Bombyx mori: one gene and its partners. The protein of the gene in region 2 purifies or fractionates together with the protein of the main gene of each other region. This does not show direct contact. Links are inferred from orthologs where the notes say so. Each region holds a gene or a part of one and is shown on either strand. Other genes may lie near its edges.

The links.
Region 1: the proteins of cullin-2 (region 2) and E3 ubiquitin-protein ligase ariadne-1 purify together in Homo sapiens (affinity purification with western blotting; 3 studies listed by BioGRID and IntAct, with this or other methods). This does not show direct contact. The link is inferred for Bombyx mori from reciprocal best matches to the Homo sapiens genes CUL2 and ARIH1.
Region 3: the proteins of cullin-2 (region 2) and kelch domain-containing protein 3 purify together in Homo sapiens (affinity purification with mass spectrometry; 5 studies listed by BioGRID and IntAct, counting the BioPlex papers as one, with this or other methods). This does not show direct contact. The link is inferred for Bombyx mori from reciprocal best matches to the Homo sapiens genes CUL2 and KLHDC3.
Region 4: the proteins of cullin-2 (region 2) and COP9 signalosome complex subunit 3 purify together in Homo sapiens (affinity purification with mass spectrometry; 5 studies listed by BioGRID and IntAct, counting the BioPlex papers as one, with this or other methods). This does not show direct contact. The link is inferred for Bombyx mori from reciprocal best matches to the Homo sapiens genes CUL2 and COPS3.
Region 5: the proteins of cullin-2 (region 2) and Ter94 purify together in Homo sapiens (affinity purification with western blotting; 3 studies listed by BioGRID and IntAct, with this or other methods). This does not show direct contact. The link is inferred for Bombyx mori from reciprocal best matches to the Homo sapiens genes CUL2 and VCP.
Region 6: the proteins of cullin-2 (region 2) and cullin-associated NEDD8-dissociated protein 1 purify together in Homo sapiens (affinity purification with western blotting; 7 studies listed by BioGRID and IntAct, with this or other methods). This does not show direct contact. The link is inferred for Bombyx mori from reciprocal best matches to the Homo sapiens genes CUL2 and CAND1.

The regions. Positions count from the first base shown.
Region 1 is NC_085127.1:9,591,301-9,595,595, forward strand, and holds the start of E3 ubiquitin-protein ligase ariadne-1, read right to left. Parts: upstream 2,801-4,295; 5' UTR 2,626-2,800; coding exon 2,419-2,625; intron 500-2,418; coding exon 347-499; intron 1-346. UniProt on the Homo sapiens protein: E3 ubiquitin-protein ligase, which catalyzes ubiquitination of target proteins together with ubiquitin-conjugating enzyme E2 UBE2L3.
Region 2 is NC_085129.1:21,461,517-21,465,773, reverse strand, and holds the start of cullin-2, read left to right. Parts: upstream 1-1,457; 5' UTR 1,458-1,610; intron 1,611-4,257.
Region 3 is NC_085118.1:7,557,037-7,560,977, reverse strand, and holds the start of kelch domain-containing protein 3, read right to left. Parts: upstream 2,801-3,941; 5' UTR 2,652-2,800; coding exon 2,409-2,651; intron 2,271-2,408; coding exon 1,805-2,270; intron 1,204-1,804; coding exon 1,008-1,203; intron 509-1,007; coding exon 335-508; intron 197-334; coding exon 133-196; 3' UTR 1-132. UniProt on the Homo sapiens protein: Substrate-recognition component of a Cul2-RING (CRL2) E3 ubiquitin-protein ligase complex of the DesCEND (destruction via C-end degrons) pathway, which recognizes a C-degron located at the extreme C terminus of target proteins, leading to their ubiquitination and degradation.
Region 4 is NC_085119.1:8,374,090-8,378,241, forward strand, and holds the start of COP9 signalosome complex subunit 3, read right to left. Parts: upstream 2,801-4,152; 5' UTR 2,536-2,800; coding exon 2,481-2,535; intron 2,313-2,480; coding exon 2,158-2,312; intron 1,082-2,157; coding exon 985-1,081; intron 1-984. UniProt on the Homo sapiens protein: Component of the COP9 signalosome complex (CSN), a complex involved in various cellular and developmental processes.
Region 5 is NC_085125.1:11,209,088-11,213,257, forward strand, and holds the start of Ter94 (transitional endoplasmic reticulum ATPase TER94), read right to left. Parts: upstream 2,801-4,170; 5' UTR 2,714-2,800; coding exon 2,697-2,713; intron 2,116-2,696; coding exon 2,010-2,115; intron 1-2,009. UniProt on the Homo sapiens protein: Necessary for the fragmentation of Golgi stacks during mitosis and for their reassembly after mitosis. Involved in the formation of the transitional endoplasmic reticulum (tER).
Region 6 is NC_085111.1:7,841,576-7,845,744, reverse strand, and holds the start of cullin-associated NEDD8-dissociated protein 1, read right to left. Parts: upstream 2,801-4,169; 5' UTR 2,572-2,800; coding exon 2,530-2,571; intron 2,445-2,529; coding exon 2,275-2,444; intron 1,794-2,274; coding exon 1,580-1,793; intron 1,486-1,579; coding exon 1,351-1,485; intron 590-1,350; coding exon 432-589; intron 310-431; coding exon 147-309; intron 1-146. UniProt on the Homo sapiens protein: Key assembly factor of SCF (SKP1-CUL1-F-box protein) E3 ubiquitin ligase complexes that promotes the exchange of the substrate-recognition F-box subunit in SCF complexes, thereby playing a key role in the cellular repertoire of SCF complexes.

The DNA of each region.
Region 1 (4,295 bases), on a different chromosome or scaffold from region 2:
AATTATAAACTACTTTTATGGTTTAACTTGAAACTTTTATTGTCATTATAATATTTCCAAATGACTCCCAACACAATATTCAAATTTGAATAAATAACAGTTTAGTGGTTAGTCATCACAAAAACTGTAAACTATTTAAAATGTTAGAAATAATATAATGACTCTAAAATTGCAAGATTACATCACAAAAGTAAATTTAATTATGTCTATTATTCACATATATTGATGAATATAGCATAAAAAATTAAGATTACATTAGCATATACACATATGGTAATGTAATGAAATGTTTTTAATCATGTTGTAATATAATTACTTTTTTTAGGATAGTCTGCAATACATTTACCTTTGGCCTTTGTATGACAGGTTTCCTGAATGGATTGATAACTCTAGCTTCAGAGAACAACTGATCCTGGTCTCCATCATAAAAACGTTCCATAAGCTTCTCTTTGTCCCATTTGAAATGATTCAGTAAGATCCTTGTTGTTGTTGCTGGAATCTGTTTTGACAGGATTTTTTATGCTTTTAACACACCATAAATCAGAATTTTTAATACTTAATCAGGGGATCTTCAAGGACAGGTATATACTATCTGAGTGAAATAGTTGGGACTTCATAGCTACATATCTCCCTAACATTGTAAAGAAAAAAATTGTATAAACTTTCTTTTTTTACATAATTATATACCACTAAAACAAAACTATTAAACACAAACAAATTATTTACATCCACTAGTTTTTTTTGTAAGTCCTATGAGTAGACAAGCTTCTAAAAACTGAAGATAAGAGATCCCTTAACTTAGTTAGTTTAGTCCCTACAGTTAATTTACAGTGTTACAAATTTCCTCAATGATCACTTTCACTTTTGTTACAGTCAATTAAGAGCCAATTTCAAAGATTTTTAAATGAAATATTGCAGTTTCATATCAATGTATTTTATTTAGATTTAGTAAAAATTTGTTACTGGCTATTGTTAACTTAGGTTGATATATATTAGTATAGTTTTAGTGCAAAATGTTAAATTTTACACAAATCAACATTTTTCTTAGTTTCATATAAACATAATTAGTATGTTACTGAGAGCCTTATCATTTTTTAATTTCAATTTTGTTGTCAGAAATGCAATTTATATTTAATAGAGATTGATTGTTACTAGTTCAAAAAATGCTTTTTACTATTTTAAATTTTAAATTTAAATAAAACTGACTCTCGCTTTAGGTTAAAAAATATCATTGAACTATGTAATCCATTAATATAAAAAATGACAGATTAAATTGCCTTAAAGATCTGTTGAGGGGCTAAAGTGGTCCAATGGAAGATTAGTCTAACAAGTACTCCATCTCAACCTGAGAACTACAAGTAGTAAAGGTAGAGCAATCAATGTTACACACACTCATGACATGATTGTGTTATGTGTGCTAAGCCTGCTTGGAGATAGGTCAAATAGCCACTTATGTGCTTCTCAAATGGGAGTGGCTATGCTTCAGACCCTGGGTCCCCAGGCCCCACAGCTAGCTTCCTGGAGAACCTAGTCTGGTGCTTGTAGGATCACTCTCACTCTATTGAATAATAATGACATCAGATTGCAGGGAACCACACGTTTATTGCTTTTGGGGTAATGTTTTTTCATAATTGTTAGTAAGTTGTTTCCAAAGCTGAAATTGTAATGATATACTACTTCAGCACAAACACAAAACCATACCCATAATTTCTACAGTTCATTTAATGAATATTTAGTTAAACAGATTTTTTCCTTAATGCAAAAAAGCATAGGTACATGTTAACATATTAATATCTCCAAATCAATATTAATCAACAATAAGCACTTTTCTAGGCCTTAATATTATCATAGTACATAATAATGCAATTGACAATGAAAACTATTAATTATATATGCAAATGAAATTGTTATTAGAATCTTACTGTAGCTTTTTATTATAAGAAAGAATGTATAACATTGAATAAGAATGTATAACATTCTTTCTTATTCTGTTCTGCATACATATTTGATGAATTAAAATTAGTTATATGAAATCTACTTGTATTTGCTTAATATTTATTTAAGCACCACTCTTTTTGTTCTATTACATTAGTCAGCATTACAAAGTTATTAGTCATCAATTTACAGTTTTATATGTTCTAAAAAATACCAATGACTTTTTACCTTTCATAAAATGCTTTATGGCTCATAAGATTATATTAGGCCAAATAATGATTTCCTGTGATGATTTAATTCTTAGAAACTGTGTTTGCTAATAATAAAATCAAACCATAAACAATACCTACAGTCAAAAATATCATGTCAGATCAATTGCGACTAAATTAGTCCACAACACAAAAGGTTCTATCAAAGTGTACCATTGTACGAGTAACCTCAATCAATTAGTCCATTGTTTACGCTCACAACTAACATACTGACCTCGACGACAGTGTTCACTTCTTTAATGCAGTCAACCATATGTTGGACAATCTCCTCTGTAGACAAAACCTCGTAAGGATACTCCTCAAGCTCAGTTTGTCTTTCCCTTGTACTATGAGTTTCAACGTCCATTGCAAAGTCGACATCGTCTCCACTAGACTCATTACCCGAGTCCACATCGTCTTTCGTGTCATCTTCCGAATCCATCGTTGCAAACTTTAACTAAATTTGTATGATTTATAGTGAATGCACAACCAGAAATCTTATTGTGATGAAATAAATACACCTTAGATTTAGGAAAGGTCAACAATGAAGAAAATAGTTCACCCGCGGGCTGCCAAAACCTCTGACGTAAGGACAGTGTTCTAACATCTAAAAATTTAAATCATAGATAAATAATGTTCTTCTTTTTTTTAGTATGGCAATTAGCTTCTTGCATGACTGTTGTTGGCAGAGTCGAGATAATAAAAATCCTGATTTATTAAACTCTTACATACATACTTATTGTATCTTAAGAAAAATCATATTATGGAACGAAATGAGATGAAGTTAATTTATTTAAGATTGTAATCAATTGGGTTGAAATGAAATGAGATGAGATGGAATAAAATAAACGCACAGTAAAATGATTGTTCTCTGATACTTCAGTGGACTTTCTAGACGAGTCTGTGAAGCCATTCCCAGCGACTTTGTTTCATTTTCTCACATTATGTACTTTTATAGATGCTCAACAGTTAAGAAGCCACCATTAATACGCATTGATGTCGACACATGATGACAAAGTTAAAGTGGAACTCAACCCATTATACGAGACTTCTTATCGAACCGTTCGTTCCGATATCGAGTCGAAGGAACGTGCTCTCGCCCTCGTCACGTACCTCAGTTTGTAGGTATAGCCCGGTCTCCGGAGACCTATCTAGCGCTCTTCGCCGATGACACGGCTATCTACTACTCGTGTAGCAAGAAGTCATTATTCGTTCCGGAAGTGCCGCATCGACATCAACCCCACGAAAAGCACAGCGGTGCTCTTCAAAAGGGGTCGCCCTCCGAATACCACTTCGAGCAGCCCACTCCCTAATAGGCGCGTTAACACCTCCACCGTTAGCCCCATCACTCTTTTTGGCCAGTCCATACCGTGGGCCTCGAAGGTCAAATATCTAGGCGTCACCCTCGACAGAGGTATAACATTCCGTCCCCATATCCAAACGGTACACGACCGTGCCGCCTTCATTTTTTTATTTTTTATTACTTAGATGGGTGGACGAGCTCAGAGCCCACCTGGTGTTAAGTGGTTACTGGAGCCCATAGACGTCTACAACGTAAATGCGCCACCCACCATGAGATATAAGTTCTAAGGTCTCAGTATAGTTACAACGGCTACCCCACCCTTCGAACCGAAACGCATTACTGCTTCACGGCGGAAATAGGCGGGGTGGTGGTACCTACCCGTGCGGACTCCCAGGAGGTCCTACCACCAGTGATTACGCAAATTATAATTTTGCGGGTTTGATTTTTATTACACGATGTTATTCCTTCACCGTGGAAGTCAATCGTGAACATCATATTAGGACATCTCTACCCTATGCTTTGCAAGCGAAACAAATTGTCCTTCCGTAATAAGGTGACACTCTACAAAACTTGCATACGCCCCGTCATGACGTATGCAAGCGTAATGTTCGCTCACGCGGCCCGCACTAACTTGAAACCCCTTCAGGTTATTCAATCCCGATTTTACAGGATAGCCGTCGGAGCACCATGGTTCCTAAGGAACGTGGATCTCCATGATGACCTGGAACTTGGCTTAGTCAGTAAGTAACTACAGCCGGCATCATTGCGCCACTTTAAGAAGGCGGCACATGAGAAACCTCTTGTCGTAG
Region 2 (4,257 bases):
GTCTAAGGCTCTGAGAATAATTGCTGGGGCTATGCGTTCGAGCCCTATTAACGCTTTGCAGGTCGAATGTTCTGAAGCCCCCCTGCACCTCAGACGACAATTTCTTTGTGACCGGTTTCTATTTAGAGCATTCCAAGTTTATAATCATCCTCTTTACACTAAGTTACGGTCTCTGCTGGAATGTATGGATTATCCGTACTGGGCTCATAAATCGCCGCCATGCCTTATTGTTAGTCTCCAAAAGTACTTAGCTCTTCAAGCTCCTACACATAGATCACAATTCCTTCCAATATTTTGTGTTAACTATGATGCCCTAACTTTAAATCCATCTATTATGTTTGATTTCGGCCTAAGTAAACAAGATCTTTCTATCAATGCCAAATTTGTTGATATTATTGACAGTGACAGCCGATGGAAAAATTGTCATTTAATTTTTAGCGATTCCTCCAAACCCGGTCCCGAGGAGTGTGTGGGGGTCGGCATTTTCCATCAACAGTTTGGCATTGTTCAGAAAATAAAATTGCCTCCAGAGACTTCAGTATTTACTGGAGAATGTTTTGGTCTTCTGAAGTCTCTGGAGTACATTTTAATGATGAAGCTTAAAAAGTCAATAATTTTAACTGACGCTAAAAGTGCCCTCCAAGCCTCGGAACGTTTTCCTTTTAACAGTAACCGAAATAATCATCCTGTGATTATTGCATGTCGTGATTTATTGTATCAATGTTGCATCAAAAATTACACAGTTTCCTTTGCTTGGATTCCGGGGCATTCGGGTATCTTTGGCAATGCCAAGGCCGATAGCCTTGCCAAAGCTGCGGTCAATGATGGAGATTTGGTTCCGTACAAAAACTTTTGTTGTGATTTAGCTCTGCTTCCTAAATTCCAGTTATTGAATTCTTGGACTCACATTTGGCGTTCTTCAAGACAGACTAAATTACAGCACGATCCAGGTGGATATACCTCCTAAACCGTGGTTTTCAAATCTGACGTTTGGTAAAGCTATCACATCGACCCTTATTCGCATGAAGCTGGGCCATGCATGCATTCCCTTGCATTTGGCAAGGGAATGCACCTTTTGCCTAGTGATATATGTGAGTGTGGCAATGACGTTGGGGATTTTAATCATATATTCTTTGCCTGTCCTCGAAATGACCGTTCCGCTTTTATTTCCTCACTTTTGTCCATTAAAATTCCTTTTCCTACTTCAATTTCTATCCTTTTATCTAATATCAATATTGATGTATATAGAATATTAGCTAGTTTCATTTTTCATAATAATATAAAATTGTAACCATTTATGTACTTAGTTTATATAATATATATACCTGATCCTTTTTCCAAATTCCGTTCCAATTTCAAATCCAAAAAATAAATCCATTAACACACTTCCTAACCTTTTTGCGTGGCTGACGCACAAACCGTGCAGGCCAAGAAATGGGAGAAAAAAAAAAAAAAAAAAACATTGCATTTGCGCCAGAGACGTCAATGTCAAAAATAAGCCTGACAAAGAATTACGGACGAAATAATATAATTTGTACATAAAATATAAACAAAATATTCAACAGGCCATTAAAACTTCGCATAGGAAATTAATTCACGAAAAGTATATTGTAAGTACCTTTCCTTTGGATTATAAATATTAACTTTGATTTGCACATCTGTCATTGCAATAAGTACATACATCGAGATTGATTATTTTGGTTTTTAATGCTGAGTAATTCTACGTCGGGAGCCGGGCATTGGCATACAGACACCTTTGTCACATTGCCAAACAAATATATGATCGTGCAAAGTACGCATTTTACGTATTTAAAAGAAATCAAAATTGTTTCAACCCATTTAAATAAGTTAACCCCATTTGCCATCTATTCTTTTGAATCTATACGAATAATTTGCATAATTAGACAGCAACATTCGTCTATCAAGAATCAGTTCTATATTATTGAAGAAGACTTGCAGATTTTGTAAACATAGAACATAAGGACTTGGCACATAACACAGCTTATTGTAGTCCATTTCGTGTTAAGTAGATCAAAACAGCAAACGGTATTAAACCACGCATACAATTCAGGTATACAGCCCAATAGAATACATAAAATGAGAATTGCTTAATATTTACACTTAGGAAAACATAATGAGGTGACAAATACCTAATCCTCCATATTCGGATCATGATTTGCCAAAAATAATAAAGAATAATTGGACATGTATTATAAATATCCCCTTGTGACTAATAAGACCTTCCCTTGCTTTAGATCACAAGCTAAATAAAATATGAATGTACTTAGTGTTTATGCTCAAGCGTAGCTCCATCCATCATAACGGAACTGGTCCTTTACACCACCTAATTTATAGCAACGGTCAACCCACTGCAAAATAGATTTTGAGATTAGTCATAATGAATCTGGCCGAACAAAGTAAATAGAATAATTTGGGTAATAACCTGAAAAAGTTCTCAACTCTTCTCTTCACTGTTAGACACATAGACACAATATTCCAACAAAAATACTTGCTGTGTAAAAGATCTTCCTTTTTAAAATTTCTAGTATCAAACTGATATAACTTAAAAATAAACTGAATATTTTGATAATTGTAATTGCGATTTGATTCACATAATATGTATGTTTTATGGGATAGATGGGTATAGCAAATGTGGTTGCTCTAGTGTGTAGAAGCTACTAGATCCCACAGACACAACAAAATGGATACCTCTGCTACCTAAGTCTAACCTAACTGCTTTTTTAAATAATCCTCCACAAGCATTTTTTTTTTATTTATTATTTATTTAATATATTTTGTACACACAGCTGTTAGAAAAGACACGTCAATAAGGATACAGAGTACAAGGGCACTACTTATTTCATGCTGAAATCTCTTCCAGTAGGCCCGCAAAAGGAAAGAAGAATTAGGAACACAAACCTAGTGCATACAGTAAACATTACATATAATAATATATACATATTACAAGATACAAAACAATATATATGCATACAAATACACACACACACACACACATGCATATATATAACATACACACATATACTTACTTTATATTATAATACATTATACAAATATATATAATTTATTTAAGATGGTAAGGATAAATAATGTTCCTTAACAGATTTCTTGAACGCTGCTATGGTTTTGCACGCTCGTATGCTTGGAGGGAGGGAATTCCAAAGTATAACTGCTTGTACAGAAAACGATTTTGCGTAAGCATGTGTTTTATGAACAGGGCAATTGAGGAGAGTTTTAATGTGGGTTCTACAAGGAGCAATGGAGGGACGGGCATAGGTAAAGCGATCACGTAAATATTGTGGGTAGTTAGGATTATGTAGGATATTAAATAGGAAGCACAACATTCTAGTATTTCTGCGGAAACGGACTGGGAGCCACTTGAGCTTTTTGCGAAATTCAGAAATAGAATTCAGAATTTTTTGAGACCAAAAATAAAACGGATGCACAAATTTTGCAAACGCTCAAGCTTATTGAGAAGCTCCTCAGTGACATCCAAGTAGCAAGCATCAGCGTAGTCCAAAATGGGTAAAATGAGACTTTGGACAAGAGAAATTTTAGTTTCCAAAGGCAAAAAATATTGGAGACATTTGAGTGAATGGAATGTAAAGTTAACTTTACTGCTAACATTGTTAACCTGCTCATTCCAGCTTAAGAAAGAGTTAAAGGTAACGCCAAGGTTTTTAACAGTTTCACTAAAGACAATTGGTTGGCCATTCAATATGAGAGATCCAATTGCAGAATGATTTAATGCACGAATAGCATATCTACTACCAATTATGATGGCCTGTGTTTTGTTGGCATTGAGTAAGAGTCCATGAGACGTTGCCCATTCATGAATGTTTTCCAAATCACAATTAACATCCTTGATTGCTCCATCAATTTCACTAGGTGCGCAGTGATGGTAAATTTGCAAATCATCTGCATAAAGATGAAAATTTGAGGATATCAAAGTAGTGACTGTGTTAATAAACACTGAGAAAAGAAGCGGAGAGAGAACACCACCCTGAGGCACGCCAGCATCAACAGCAACCCAGTCTGAGAAGGATTCATTTTGACGTGTGCGTTGTGAACGGCCCCGAAGATATGAATCAAACCACCTTAGGGCAGAAGTAGTAATGTTTTCGCGGAGCAGCGCCGCGTCCTCGTTGCAAAAATAGGACCGGACTTGTCGCTTCCGACCGTCGTGGCTGCGATGCTCGGCAGCGATGAGTCCTGGCAGGCGATGCTCGACTTCTGCGA
Region 3 (3,941 bases), on a different chromosome or scaffold from region 2:
ATTAAACTATCAGTCTAAAAAAAGGAAAATCAAAACAACTAAACATTTCCATATTGATATTGATAGGTACTACATATTATATATTTATAAGCTCCAAAGTTATCAATAGAAGTGTTCAGTTAATAGATTATTTCAGCCTGCTTGATTAATGGGCCTGCTGATGCGGTTTGGTAATGTCATGGCACAAATATCCATACTGAAAGAATAATTGTAAAGTTAAATAACTGTTATGTGTGTAGTATTGTAACACTATTGGACAATTCGAGAAATTTACATACTGATTTCAAATTTAAATTTGTAAGTTGTGTACTAATTATACATTTATGTAACTTACATTATATCACGCGGAAGTGTGCTTTGGTCAAGGTTGTTAGCAAGTACAGCTATGATGCATAGAGTCTTCAGACTTGGGGTATAATCTAGTATATGTAAATCACTGTTATCAATTAATCTCTCGGGGTTTGCATCATTTTCATCAATGGGCCTGTTGTTAACATGTGGGCAAGGGCTGAAAAACAAATATGTATTTGTACATAGGGCATAACGTATTTTTAAGCAATAAGTCAAATAAGAAATTTTTGGCTTAAACTATTAAGATGTCATGTGAAATCTAGCTATCTAGTGATCTAAGCACAAAATCGTGAAAATTTTATTCATTGCGTAATTATTTATGCATTGTGAAACTGCACAAATAGACATCACCATCCAGCTTGTTTCTGCTGTCTAACTGGGATGTGTCTATGTTTTGTATGGTGGAATAACTCTCATACAATCAATTCATACTTTAACTTTTTCAAGCCTTAAATATTTTAAAATTGCAATGCACGAAAGATGTACTGTATTTTTTTGTTTTAATGAAAATTTTATTTATTTTTACACTGAAATCTTTTGTTGAAATTGTACCCTCTCAAAGTAAAAGATAAATTCAGTTCAGCACAATCTATGGTCTCCTACATTTGATAGTAATTAAGTGTGTCTGAGGACAGTTATGGAAAAAAATATTTTACCTTGTGCCTCCAAACAGGTATACCTTATCTTCATAAATAAGACATGCTTGGCGTCGTCTCTTGCAAGGAACTGAACCAGTCACATTTATAAACTGCCAAAAATTTCCTTTAATTGAGTATCTATAAAGATCATTAAAGTGTGTCCTGGTATTTCCATTGAATCCACCAAAAATGTACATGAAATCATTGTAGAGCCCTAAAGTACAAGAAAGTAACTTTAATAAATATTAATTATAAATTAATATATTTAATTATTAAATATTATATTAATATAAATTAATATACTAATTATATTCATTTTGTCAACAAAATAGCATATGATTTAATTTACATTAAAAAATAAGCTATTTAAAATATTACAATACTGCAATTTTAAGATTCATTATTTAAAATTCTATCCTAAAGCTGGTTACAGATAAGTTGCAGCAAAGCTCAGCTAAATGAATAGTAGATAAAGTAGAAATTTTTTGCATGTACCTACATCCACAATTATGTCAAGGCGAAGTAAGTATTGATTGAGTAGTTACGACACTAAAAGATGAGAAACAAGTGCACAAAGTAAAACAAGACACTAAGATTAGCTTAAGTAGCAGCAAAATAAGATAGACAACTTGAGTGCACATTGTTTACATCAGCTAGTCTATATAATTTGCAGTCTGTAGACATGTATGAAAAATAACTAAATATAATGCTAAGCTAAGCTTAACTTTTGATTTGCTACCCACTTAAAAGGGGTCACAGTTATATGTAATATATTTGTGAGATTCTTTGATAACCAGATAAATATTATAACTTACATGCAGAATGACTGCGTCTCCCTTCTGGCCAAATCCCAGTAGGATTACAGGCTACCCATGTCTCTGTTATTGTATCTAGATAATATACTTGCGGGCAATAAATTTCTTCCTGAGAATTATATGGACTATTTAAATCACCTCTACCACCAAAGACAAACATGCGGTCTCCGACAGCTACTGCAGTGTGGAAATCTCTGTGGGAAGGCGGAGTGCCTTGTGCATCTATAAAGGTCCACTGAAGTGTGTCCAAATCAAGACAATGGACTTCTTGAGAATATTGATCAGTGAGATACTCAAATCCTCCAAAAATATACATTTTATTTTTAATGACACATGCTGAATGTCCATCTTTAGCATATGGCACCATTCCTGTCACTTGCGGGGTGCTCCATTCGAGTTTCTTTGTGTCGAAGCACGAGAGAGTATCACATGCTACCGCATTATTCCTGCCGCCCCACATATATACCTGAACACAGAATAGTAGGTATAGAAGAATCAAATAGGCGAGATATTTTTAAGAATTTAAACTGTTTGGAACAATGAAATGACAGAATACAAATAACATCGACTACAATAGCCTAAAAGAAAGACTATACCTACATACCTTGTGACCATAGGCAACTGCTGTGTGCCCATATCTTTGAAATGGGACTACGTCTGATCTCTTATAGTTTACAGAGGTCCATCTTAGAGTTGCTGTGTTCAATATATGGACTGGTATTGGCTCCCAATCTTTATATTCTTCAGTGGAACAATATCCACCAAACGAATAGATTTTATCGCCAATACATACAGCTGCATGATTGACTCTCATCGGTCCCCCTTCGATATGCACTGTCCATTTCATTGTTGCAATGGAATTTAAAAAAAAGACGGTAGCTTCAAATTAAACTGTTATATTATTTTTATATTTTTTTAAAAGGAATCTACCATATCCCCGACAAACTGGTTGACTGACGAAACTAGAAACTAGAAATCAGAAATTGACAGTGGGTATTGAGATGACAAATAATTCGTCAATTGGATAGGCAAAGGAAATAACGTCCGTACAACGAAATGTTATGTGAAAAATACACGATTCCTTGTCTGTTGTCCGTAAATGGAACGCGCTAATTACCGACATTACTAGTCATTTTACTATAAATCAATACTAATTATCGAAAATAATTTGAATATGAAGTGAGACAAAGGACTTTTTGGCAAAAACACCAACTTTTGTGAGTTGTTTTATTTTGATAATTCGGGTTAAAGATATTCTTTATTCTCAAAAGAATTACATAAATTCACTTAAATGAGAACATTAAAATAGTTACAATTACTTCAGATCGTGCAGTACATGACAATAATTTACAGTAACAACATGCGACGCTATGCTATAAACAATACATTTAACAAAAACTATAAAGATTATTATTTTCTTAAAATGTATAAACAGGGTAGATTAATTACCACAGCAGATCGCCTCGACCAGCCGGCCGGCCGCTCGGTGGCGGGTAGATATTGGCGCCACAAGGAGCTAGTTCGCATGGATGTGGCATTGGTTAAATGTTTGCAGGTTGTTAGTTTCGTTGTTTTTTCATTTCATTGTTTATTATATTTCTTTCCTGTTTATATTTAGGTATAAATATGAAGTTATTGTTAAATAAACGAAAATAAATTAATGGAATTGGGTAATTACTTTAAATTGAATTTAGTATTTTTAGTTATTAACGTAGGCTTAAGTAACAATACTATCATTTCTATGGATGTAACTGTCTGAAATAAATGGATATTATTATTATTAACAAATTTATCTTAGAAACTATATTATGGGAACATTTTTTCTTATATAATCATTACATTTATTTTTAAATACATTCAATGACTTGATATTTTTTAAATCTAAAGGCAGCATATTATACAGTTTGACACCCTCAGATGATATATTTCGTTGTCCATAGTTAGTTCTAGATCTGGTAGTGATTAAGTTTTCGGCATTTCGATTACGATAGTTTTGAAGTTCCTTTTTTTTAGTAAACGTCAATTTAGAATGTATCTCCTTGTGTAATATTTTTCTTATTAGTAAACAAGTGCTATAGGTATACAGTTGTTTTACAGACATAAGTTTGGTTTCACTATAGACTTTTGTGGTGGGTGT
Region 4 (4,152 bases), on a different chromosome or scaffold from region 2:
TTCACTAGTCTAGACTGCATGTCTGGAGGACTAAGTGGACTTGACTGGACTGGACTAGTGGTTAACAATATGCCATTCTAACAGTAATTTTTTTTGTGTTTCAAGCATTTTATAAATAGAGTGATTAATAATTAACTAATAGGAAAGGACGAGGAAGAAGAATAGTGTATTAGTGAAGAAAATTGTACTCCTTTTCATAAAAATAAAACATAATACTGATAATGAGAAGCAAGTGAAAGATTTGACTGTTATGCTAGATCAATGATGATTCATGAGCATAAAAAATCTTTATAGGTCAGTGATGGGATTGTTCATCTGACCCGTCCCTCAAAACATAACAGATCAGAAGCAGATCTAAATCAATAAATATTTGTAAAACCATTACATAAGCGTAAATCTAAAATACTTAATTTATTTTTATACATATTTAAATTGTTTTGCTAAGTTAAGATGAGAAAGCGATAAGATACTATTTTTTAAGAAATAGACCAATGAAAAAATTAATTTTAATATTTAAATTGAATTAATTACACTAGCTGCTAGTGACTAGCATAATAACAGGTTATTCGTGAGTATTACTGACCTTGCACTCAGAGATAGAAAATATTTCTTATGATTGTCTATAATTAAATATTGTAATAAATGAGGGTTATTTTATTAACAAGTATTTATTTTATTTTATTGAGTTTGTGTTAAACTTTTTTCTCAGTTTTTAACTTGAAATATTAGACCACACAGCCACACAGCTTATACACAAAAGATGCTACTGATAAAGTATTATACATAAATTGATTGATAAAAATTCAGTATTTACAATCACACACTGAACTATGAAACACTCATGATTATACTACTAGGCTACTATTATACTACTAGGCTATGAGCAGGGTCAACTCTAGTTTTCAGAGATATCAAAGAAGGTAAAATATATAGAGGTTCAGCATTCTGACTAAAAAAGATTGACAAAATGAAAAGCAGACTTACATAAATCAGTTGCAAATCGAACTTGTTCACCATTGCAGTTATTGATAAAATCATGAAACTGTTGATACATAGTTGACCTATCAACTTCTGGATTGCCCTGTAAGGTACATAAGTTATATTGATTCAGAAAACAGAAATAAAAGTAGTTAATATGTGATGAACAGTTTATTTCATGCTGTAGAACATTATACAGTTCAAAACAAAGAGAAAACCTAAGTTAACATTATATTATTACGAGATATTTTTTTCAAATTAATATTGGACCTCATTAAGTTTGTCAGTATCAATAAATATACTACTACAGATTTTTTTCAAAATTCATGTTGGGTGACTTTGCAGCTTTTTAATACGATTTTATTAGCTTCAGTTGTATGTATGTTAGTATGTAACAGAATCTTTGAACATGATTTTGACCCCCTTACCATGCATGCACCATGCACCCCATGCTTTTTTACAATAAAATAATTTTTTCTTACACCATTTTTAAATCAAATTTATTTTCTATTTTTTAGTTGGATTTTCTACAAAAGCGTATTTTGTTAGTATTTTTAAACCATTATTTATTTAATTTGAGTTTAGGCATAAAATGCCTTGATAGATATAAAATATATATAATATATGTTATAATTATTGCTGTGAATATTTAGTGATACTAGAGGTCCCGCAGTAGTCGAAATTCAACTATGATTAATTGGAATTGTAAGTTTTTACACTATTATGATTGTATTTTATACTTCTATAATCACAAATTTCACCAAGACTACACTATAAAAAATATTAACAAAGACAAACAATATTTAATTTCAATTTGACAACAGACGTCAAGAACAAAAGTTTGACAATAAATAGTATGCATGCGTGTGTGCGTCAAATACAAGGTATGTAGTGTGTGTAATGTTTTCTTTATTGATTTAATGTATCTTTTATGCATTATTCAAAAAATATATTAACATCATGCACTTCTTCTGTATATTCTCTATAAGTGTGGAAAATTTCATACTCCTCCGTCCGCGCAATTTTCTTAAAAAGGGATACAAAGTTCTTGCTTCATGTATTAATATATAGATTTTGATACAGTTTAAGTTAGACTTAACATACATTTAGATTTCAATTACACTTTAAGGCCATTGTAATAATTTATGTAAAGTTAGAATGCATAATTAAAACACTTACCGGAGGCAAGGAAAATTTGGCCACCAGGACTGCTAAAACACCCAATGAATGCTGTTGGATATCAAGAGTTTCAAGTACTGTATTGAGGTGGAAGCTATTCCTCTGCAACACTTCATCTGATTTTGCAATAATCTCATATAAATCGCGAAAATTACCTGAAAGATAAGACATTGTACCATGAAGTTTGATTTAATGACGTTCTAATACATTCCAATAAATTTGTTTCCTAAAAAAGAATCAGGTTTATTATAATATTATTATTATGATTGCGATTGTGTCAGGTGCCTACTTTTTTTATTCCATGAATTATAATAGCACGGTACCTGATGCCGACATTGTCCTCACATTGTTGACAAATTGTTCTAAAGGAGAAGCCATTGTGATAGTAGTATCAGATAAATTATATATGTGCTTGAATTAATAAATGTTTAAATAAATTGTTTCTTTTTTCTACATTTAAAATAACCCAGACGAAAATAACATGAATTATTGATATTTTTTTGACATGAGAAATTGACAGCGGTAGTTGTTTATTTAAATACATCAATATATTAGGCAAAGAGGTACTAGACCATAATCTTGTAAAAAATAAAGACTACAGCTATAAGTGTTGTATAAAAAGTAAAACGGAACGAAATGAATTAAATTTGAGCTGAGATAAGACAAAACATTATGTATTTGTGCGATATGATAAAATAGGTATGTGTTAATCTCTTTCTTTTTTATTGTTATTTTCAGTAATTTAGTCTGTATCACACCCGTAATAAATGTTAGTTTAAAAACTACATGAAGAAATAAGAAACTATCCCGTAAAAGATGCGCTCGCTCTTTTGGCTAGATACATAAATCACTTAATTTTCTAAAAATTATGTAATAAAAATATATTCCGGCTCAAATAAAATTGAATCAAAATCAATTCAAAGAAAACAGTCATGAGAAGAGTTAATTTTATTACAAGAATGGTGCTATTTTACTAAGAAATTATTTTCTTGCCATCATTCATTATGATGCAGGAAAAACTATCGAAACTTGTGTTTGGTACTTCACACCTGGATACAGATTTTTGCTATATAAAACAAATTCGGCCTTACAAAGCAATTCCGGCCTTGCGTGGAGTACTGCTCTCACCTCTGGGCCGGGGCTCTCAAATACTATCAGATAATTTCCATTGGACTTCATACAGAAGAGAGACGTTCGGATTGTCCATATTCCCGTTCGCATGTATCGCTTGGAGCTCTCTGTCTACAGAGAGACTTCGATTGTCTCTGGGTTTTGTATCGTATGTCCCATAGGGTGTGCTCTGATGTATTGTTTCAGATGATCCCATAATATTAATTTTATAATCACATCACCCGTTATCGGAGAAGAGTTCTGCCATGTACCATCCGGCTTTTGAATGAACTTCCCTCTACGGTGTTTCCCGAACGCCATATATAATATATAAAATATATATACATATATATATATATAAATCTCCTTTACAGATGATCTATCTTTAAAGGAGACTTAAGAAAAGTACGCAACGGTAGGCAGCGGCTTGGCTGTGCCCCGGCATTGCTGATGTCCAGGAGCAACGGTAGCCACTTACCATCAGGCAGGCCATATGCTTGTCTACCTGCAAGGGCAATAAAAATAAATCTGTTGCATTATTTAATTCCATTTCACATTTTATTAAACTGACATGTTTTTGCCTTTTTTAGATTTGGTTTTATGGGTAATTTTTTCTTTGTCGGTTCAGTAAAAAAATCTAATGAAATAAGAATGTACTAATTCTATTTTATACAATGACATTATTCATTTTGAAATTTGACACTAAACAATAAAGTTCCCACAAAGTTCCTCAATAAACACTGAAGTATGAAACTAGGTTTCCTACTTCAGTGTATGAAACTCAATAATGGAAATGAAAGTGTCACTCGTGTATTATGATGTAATACTGTCATTATATATTAAGTGTATAATCTATGCTATCATTCATTGACAGTTCGGTTGAGA
Region 5 (4,170 bases), on a different chromosome or scaffold from region 2:
GCATTAGTAAAACTTGCAGTAACAGTTTTGATACATCACTCAAGTACAATCTTTCAGAAGCTGGATATTTCGGTGCCACACAGGCTGATAGAAAGAAACGTAGTGATTTGTGTATTAATTTGTGATTATGTATAATCAATGTAAATGTTTATGTGTAATCAAAGGCACTCTAGCGAAACCTACGTAAATTCACAGTAGATAGATTCTAAGCATATGTTAGCATCGGAAGGGCATTGTTTATTATAAGCTTTTATTGACAGGCAATACGGATACAGGACTTTACTGTCAATATCTGATTGACAATCAAACAACAAAATGGTAATTTTTTTATAATGATAATACAAGTTTTTTTTTTATTGACCTTGTAGGCAAACAATCACTCGGTCCACCTAATGGTGAGAAATTACTGTTGCTTATAGAAGTCAGTGATCCCAGAACCACAACCAAGACGTTGCCCACTACTAAGGACTCTCTATAAACCTCGTTAGGAGAACCACGTATATTTTTAACCAGTCCGAAAATATTGAGTTTCGTTGAGAAGCATTAACACATTCATAATATAGCCCTAAGCTTAAACTCACAAATCTTCTTCAGCCCCTTCAGAATTTTTAGGTACTGTTCGTTTATTGTACTGTACTGTAGTATTTTTTAAATCAAAGTCTCCAAAGTTTTCCTTAATGGTCACTACCAACTTGGTAACAAACAAAACAGTAGTTGGTAGTACCAACAATATAGATCAGGTTTTTCTAAGTTCCTATTTTAAATAAAGTGAGTTTTTTATTCCACTTGGTAACTAATTTTATTTCATACTTTTTAGTCAATTGATTCTGTAAAATAAATTCATTCTATGCAGGAAACAGACTTAAACAGATAATGTTTTTGGTAAGAGATATCTTTAATTATAAAAAACAATGAATAAATATTATTCCTCTATTAATTTTGTCAGAGACACTATGTTGAAATAATATATGACATATCACTTTTATTAGGTGTTTTTATTTTGTCTTTTCTTAGCGCTTGTGTTACCAGATTTTTTACTTAGTTATATATTGTGTGTCTAATAAATAAATAAAAAATAAAAATAAACAACCAACTGACATCTCATTTGCTAAAATCCTATAAAATATTTAAGCTGAGGAGTATAACATACATAAGTTCACATAACTTGGAATAGACCTTATAAATTTAATAATCAGTTGAAAAACACTGGACAACAGTTTACTACAGTAACAGTTTACCGGTGGTATTATAAGCCTGGGTTGAGTGCAGTCATGCATTCCAATTTGACAGATAGGTTGGCCATTGTCATACAGTTTTTTTTCTTTCTTTTCTTTATTGCTACGATGGATGGACAAGCTCAGGACCCATCTGATGTTAAGTGGTAAACTGGTCTCAGTTTTACAGTTATAACAGTCACTCAATCTACTCTTTGGACCAAAATGAATTACAGCTTCAAGGCAACTGAGGTTGGTGTCACATTCACATTATGATGTCTATGGACTCCTCACATAGGCCGTGAGGACATTCACCCATCTTTGCAATGAATAAATAAAAAAAGTAGTCTTACAGCTTTACTATTGACCTAAAGAGATAAAAAGGTTATTCAACTCTGATGGTTATAACAATGGATATTTTGCATCATATAAACTATGTTACAAAGGTTCGTTCTTTTCTATAGATTAATGGGGAAGGACAGAGACATTTTAATCATTGTTCTTTATTGTTAAATTATTAAAAACAGTAGTTACATTTTTTTTTTTTGCATGGTGCCTATGCGTCTTACAAAATACTGTATTTTATTAACAAAACAATAGTTTTAGGGATGTTCTTTTGTTTGTTTGATTTGAAAAAAAAAACCTTTATGTGTTATGTTTATGTTAATTTTATTATTTGAAGGTTAGGATGACAGACGAAATTTACTTTTTTTTTGTTCAAAGCAAAAGTACTAATATTGCTATTTAAGGTTTAGTGAATGAACCAAACATCTTGTCCAGAGACAAAGCACTGACCTGTGAAAGTGCCACGACTGAGTTGTCATCGCTGACTGCTTCTTCGACAATGAGACGGTTGGGTCTGTCCTTGCGACGGAGGATCGCGGTCGATAAATCATCAGGGCTGGAATACAAGACAATTATGACTACTCTTCAGTTTAACATTTATTTCTCACTAGTAGAAATACTTGGGTTTTGTTTGGTTTAAGTAGAAGGATTAATGTCTTTTCATTAAGATTTTTGTATTTAAAATGGTATTGGTATTTTTTAATGATTTTTGGACATAAGTTCAAACTGATTATCACTGGTGCTGAGGATGATGTTTCACTTAATTACACATTTCTAAACATATATTTCGAAAATTTGGTGAGTTCGGGTGCTCAATTTCATTCATTTTTATAGGAATGATTTCAAAATGCCGAAATTCTTTTGTGTTAATTTGTCATCTCACCGTCTCTTAAATAGAACAAACTTGTTTTCAGAACTAAGTACTCTTGCATTAGAAAGTTACAATGCTGTAGAATAATAAAATTGCTGTTGTAGGTCATTGATGAAAATAAAAAAATCACTACACTTTAAAAGTTTAATTCTCGACATGATGACAAGCCAAATTCGAAATGCATTCACAATGTACTTCGCCGATTTCGTGTAAATTTTACATGAAACTCCGTTTTGAATATTTGACGAATATAATTTAGCACTCACCTTTTATTATCTGCCATTTTATTCAAAATTTATTGTTAGAATCTAAGAACTATTATAATTTTTATAACGCCAAATAATTACTTGGCGAACTTCAATCCTAGCGTGACGTTGCCGTATTTCATTTGTTCATCGATAAGCTTCGTGTTGCCATAGAAAATAATACCATAACTAAAAGACCCATTTCTGACTAACTCTTCAAGTTTTAATCGATTGTAACCATCTCTCGATTGCAATCATTGATTACCACCACAGAGTTGCAAAATGTCTCAATCTAATATATAAAATTCTCGTGTCACAGTTTTCGTTGCCATACTCCTCCGAAACGGCTTGACCGATTTTGATGAAATTTTTTGTGCTTATCCGGTATCTATGAGAATCGGCCAACATCTATTTTTCATCCCCCTAAATGTTAGGGGTAGTCCACCCCTAAATTTTTTTATTTATTTTTTAGACAAAATTTTTCATTTCTATTTTTTTATGATACAACATACAAAAATACATACAATCCTCAATTTTCACCTCTCTACGATCAACCCTTATTTTTTATTTGCTAATTAAAAACTTCTAAAAATTTTTGCGAGAATTTTGTTTGTATTTTGTCATGACTTAAAATAAAAAAAATTATATTACTCTCAATTTTCACTCTTATACGATCAACCCCTATTTTTCCATCCCGATCAATATTTTTTTTATTCTATGCACAGATCCGCAATAAGGTTGCAAGATGGCAATCAAATATTATAATTGTAGTACGATAAACTCTTATTCAGAGTTTATAATTTCAAGTTCCTTTAATTATGATTTTTTTTAAATTGAATTTGATCTCCCGCCCTCGCCGGTCGACTACTGATCAACTATCAATCGATCAGCTATCCCCGCCAGGTGTCACCACTCATCCAGCAAACATCACGTAGTAGGGATGAGACGAAGCCGGTCTCCTGTCTTACTTATTCACTATACATCATAGATTATACACTTAATATATTTGAGAGCTATACAATACTATACATTTTTCAGCCATGTTTTTTTGGTTTTATTTGTGTATCAATAGTATGTTCAGTAGGTCTGAGAGTCGGCTACTATCTATTTTTCAAACCCCTAAGTGAAAAGGGTTGTCGACCCCAAACATTTATTTTTTATTTTAATTTTTTGGATATTTTTTTTTGTTTACAATGAGGTATTATGTGGTTAAATGAGGTTTTTTTTTCTACAGTAGAATTTCCCTAGAAATCTTATTTAAGGCAACACAACGTTTGCCGGGTCAGCTAGTGGATTTATAAATTCTTTAAAATTGGGGTAATTTAAGACGCGAATTATAAATTTCGAAATTAAAAAAATAGAGGTTTAATCAAAGATCGCCATAGAGGTTGGCATCAGAGGCTGGCCATACTACCGATAGCTAATTATGATTTTGGACACAAAACAAGGCTAATTGAGTGTAATTTCGAATAAATGAGCATCTCTCTCTCTGATG
Region 6 (4,169 bases), on a different chromosome or scaffold from region 2:
CCTCTTGTCTCAAAGCTTCATTCTTGTATGAATGTACATGTACATGATGTAAATGAGCTCCAATAACTGACAACACAAGGTTGACCCCTGAGCTTGTTCATCTATATAGGCAATGAAAATAAAAAAATCCAATTATGTCTATTTACCGTAGGTATATGTGGTTGGACTTCTTTAGGACACTTGAGGACAAATGCTTCAAGAGCCTGCAAGCAATGTTCCCGTAATTCTTCATCTGTATCTTTTGAATATTCCAAAACTGATGGTGCCACACGCCACAATTGTTCACCAAATCGGTGTCCAGCTTGACGACTAAAATAAACAAATTTCAAGAGAATTTAGTCTAATTAATATAATTTTTCTTGCCTAGATCCTACACATGCTGCAAAATTAAAATATGAATGAACAAAAATGTCAATTAACTCACAACATACCATATAGAAGCAATGCACTGTATGTGTGTTCGGCTGACACTTGATGAAGTTGAAGAGCTCAGACCCTCCAGTAGATGGTCTATTAACTTGTTATAAAGCGAAGCATTGCAAGACATGACCAAATGTGACAACGCAACTATGGTGCGCTTGCGAACAGCCTGGAATTTTTTAATATTATATTACGTAAATTTTGGATCAACGTACACCTTCATACTTTGCTATATATATATATATTTCATAATTTTTTTGTAATGGACTATATCGTTAGGTGATAGCTCACCACCTACCTAATTCTATGTCATTACCAGAGTTTGAAAGATATTAGGATATGAATGCAGCCATCCACTAAAAGACATAAGTTCAATGTTTGAATTTATACTGTGCCTAAATTGTCCCACAGCTCAAACTGGTATATTTGAGATATCTGCTAACAATACACATAGTGAAAGCACCTAACCCATAACAGCTACAAATTACCTGTTAAGATAGTTAAGATAGTTAATTACTTTTCTTTGCAAATAAATTTATGGTTGCCTTAATTCTTCATTTTTGGTAATAGTTGACCACAGCTCACAAGACAAAAAACCTTTATAATTTGATTAAATAAAATTTTAACTTGCTATTGCATTATATAATTAATATCAGCATGGAACATTTAATTTTAATATTTATTACATTACATATTTTCATTATTATTTTATATGTTGATAGTAAACAATAAAGTGTTCCCGAAATGTATGACCAACCACCAAGAAACATAATAATCAAGAGTCCAAATGGGACAATGAAGGTAGCAACAGCTGCTCCTGTAGGCTCCTTTAACTTTGAAATATCGGGACAACCAAAAGTTAGCCTACAAACTTTGGATACATAATAATATATAATTGGATCACAGGTGTTTTCATTGCTACTTGTATACCTGACGGGGAGATGCAAGCTGCGGCAACAGTGAATTGAGCAGCATAGGATGAAATGATATCAATAAACCACCAAATCTGCTCAATAAATCAGCAAGAATATCAAGTGCTTCAAGTTGAACTGAAACATCTTCTTGCTGAAAAAATTAAGAAGAATAATGACATGTTTATTTTTTGAAGAGAGCAATAAATTGAACAATCCAGTGAAATATCTAAACATCTATACTGTACCTTTTCTATAGCACTACTCAATTTACCAGTTATTTTCTTACAAACATTAGCAGCAAGAGTATTGGAACCCAGTGGGAGTTCAGAAATTACAGTCTTTAATCCAATGCTGCTGATGTCCCTTAGCTGCTCAGTATCCGAAAGCATATTGGCACAAAGTGTATCAACTATACCTTCCACCTGATACTCCTTTACTTTGTTTACAAGAGGACCGAGGCTGAAAGTGAATTATTGTCAAGGGTACTGGTTTGTTAATATCAGTATACAGTATTATAAAATTATGACTTTAACAATATTATCATCAGTAAAGTCTATATTTTGGTGTGTGCTTCTTTCTTGCAGCAATAGAGCAAAAGATTAACATATATTTTTTTTAGTATGAGAAAGTTGAAATACCTAAGTGAATTTGGTTTAAATTGAGAAAAAGTTATGTAATTTTACAAATTTAACACTGATAAAAGTACAGAACAACTGAGACTATTAGACTTGACTTTGTAAAGGAAACTTATCTAATTTCATAAAACTATGACAAAAATCTGCGACAGCGAATATTGAAATTTTATCTTCTACCATACTTTTTCATAAGTAGTTTGAATAGAACTTAAAAAATTGGGAGTTAAATCACATGCAGGATTGAATCACATGCAGGATTGATACTCAGATTTATTGTGCTTGGAATTATGAAATATCAAACGAACCATTTCACAGCTAAATTCTGAACTTCACCATTCTTGTCTTCGAGTAATCGTAGAAGCATTTTTACTACTTTTCTTTCAGAATCATCGTCGAGCTTGATACTGTCTTTTTGCAACTCTGTCATCAAATCATTAGTAGCCATAAACCTGAAGTCTTTATCATTGGATGTCATCTACGAAATAAATAGAAAATCCTCAATAAATGCGAGCTTATTAGATACGAAAACATTGAACTAGTTAACAAATTAACCGGCTTACCTTCTCAAGAAGATGTGCTATATGGTAAGACACATTAGCCATTGTGCAAATCCTATCAGTGTCTCTTCCAAAAATAATTTTAAAATATTAAGACCTAACGAGAGCTAATTAGTTGAAAACAGTTTAATCAACATTAATTCACACGAGAAAAAATTTGCAAAAAACTAGGTAAAACTAAAACCTCATTTAAGTGACCATAGATTTTTTGTCAATTTTTTATTTTGCATTTTTAGGTACACAGACCTCTATTGAACAGTACTCACTGTAGATAATTACAAGCCAAAGGCATCGAGACCATTATAGGCCAACAGCATTGTGTTCAGGGCCGTAAAATAGTCATGTTTTTTTTTTCAAATTTATCGTCTAAACAGTCGTTTCTTTCAAAACCATATTATGAGTAGGTAATGTAAATTTTTAATCAGCAAATTAGTAAACTAACAATATTCGGTTACAAAAAAACCTTTTTTACTAACATAATTATTTTTTTTATAAATTAAAAGGCTTATGGCGTCTTACAGAGTCTTACTCATATACAGGGTGTCCCAGAAAGAATGGATAATCCTGAAACACCTCATAGTAGAGCCATTGAGGACACAAAAAAAAATAAAAATAAAAAAAACTCAGGTAGTACCCAAATTATGTATTTTAAAAAAAAGTTGATATTTTCCATACTGCTGTGCGTTTCTGGAATATATAACAGCTACAAATAAATGAAATCCATAAGCTTTTTGGTGTTATAATATTTTATATGGACTATACTAAGGAATATGTAGAAAATCGCATGAGTAGCCAGTGTAATTTTTTATAAAAGTTAATCTGAACTTCAATTTTAATAATGAAATTTGGTATTTTTATTTTATTTTTAATTTGGGTGCTACCTAAGATTTTATTTTTTATTTTTTATTTTGTGTCCCCAATAGCTCTACTATGAGGTGTTTCAGTATTATCAATTCTTTCTGAGATACCCTGTATATTGAGCGCCAAGTATGAAAATAATTTATCATTATTTTCTGCTTTTATTACTATAACTTCAAATATGCAGATTGCAGAGGTAAGTTGTTGTTAATTGGAAATAATATAATTAGGATTTTTATAAATACAATTATTGATGAATGAGTTTTTTTTTACTATACAAAATTATCCTATTACATTTGTTGTGAATTACAAAAAAAAAGGTGCGCGTGCAACTTGAGGCACGTGACACGTGAAAGAAGTGTAACTAAATTTGCAGTGTGTAGTATTACGGTTTTCTTCATTTTTCAAACTTAAATCAATTTTTTCTTGCAATAGGGAATACTATGTATTAGAGAAACGATCTCTTCTCCATTTATATATATTTTAAATTATATATAGAAAAATATATTTTTTTAATCCATAGTTAAAAATAAAATTTAAGATAGATAATATGTTACTGCCATCTACAGGAGCAATGAGAAACTAATAACAAGCAATCTAGTGGCCAACGCCCGTAAACAGAATGTGTATAAAAAAATCAATCTAGCTCGCTTTCTCGCTCTCTTCAAGGTCGTGTGGTTCGCGAGACGCTCTGTATATTTTCTCCCTCTCGCTGGTCCTAAATTGTATCTGTTCTCTCTAGTCGTTACGAATCTATCGTGAGTTAAATTTTACTCTCAATGCAC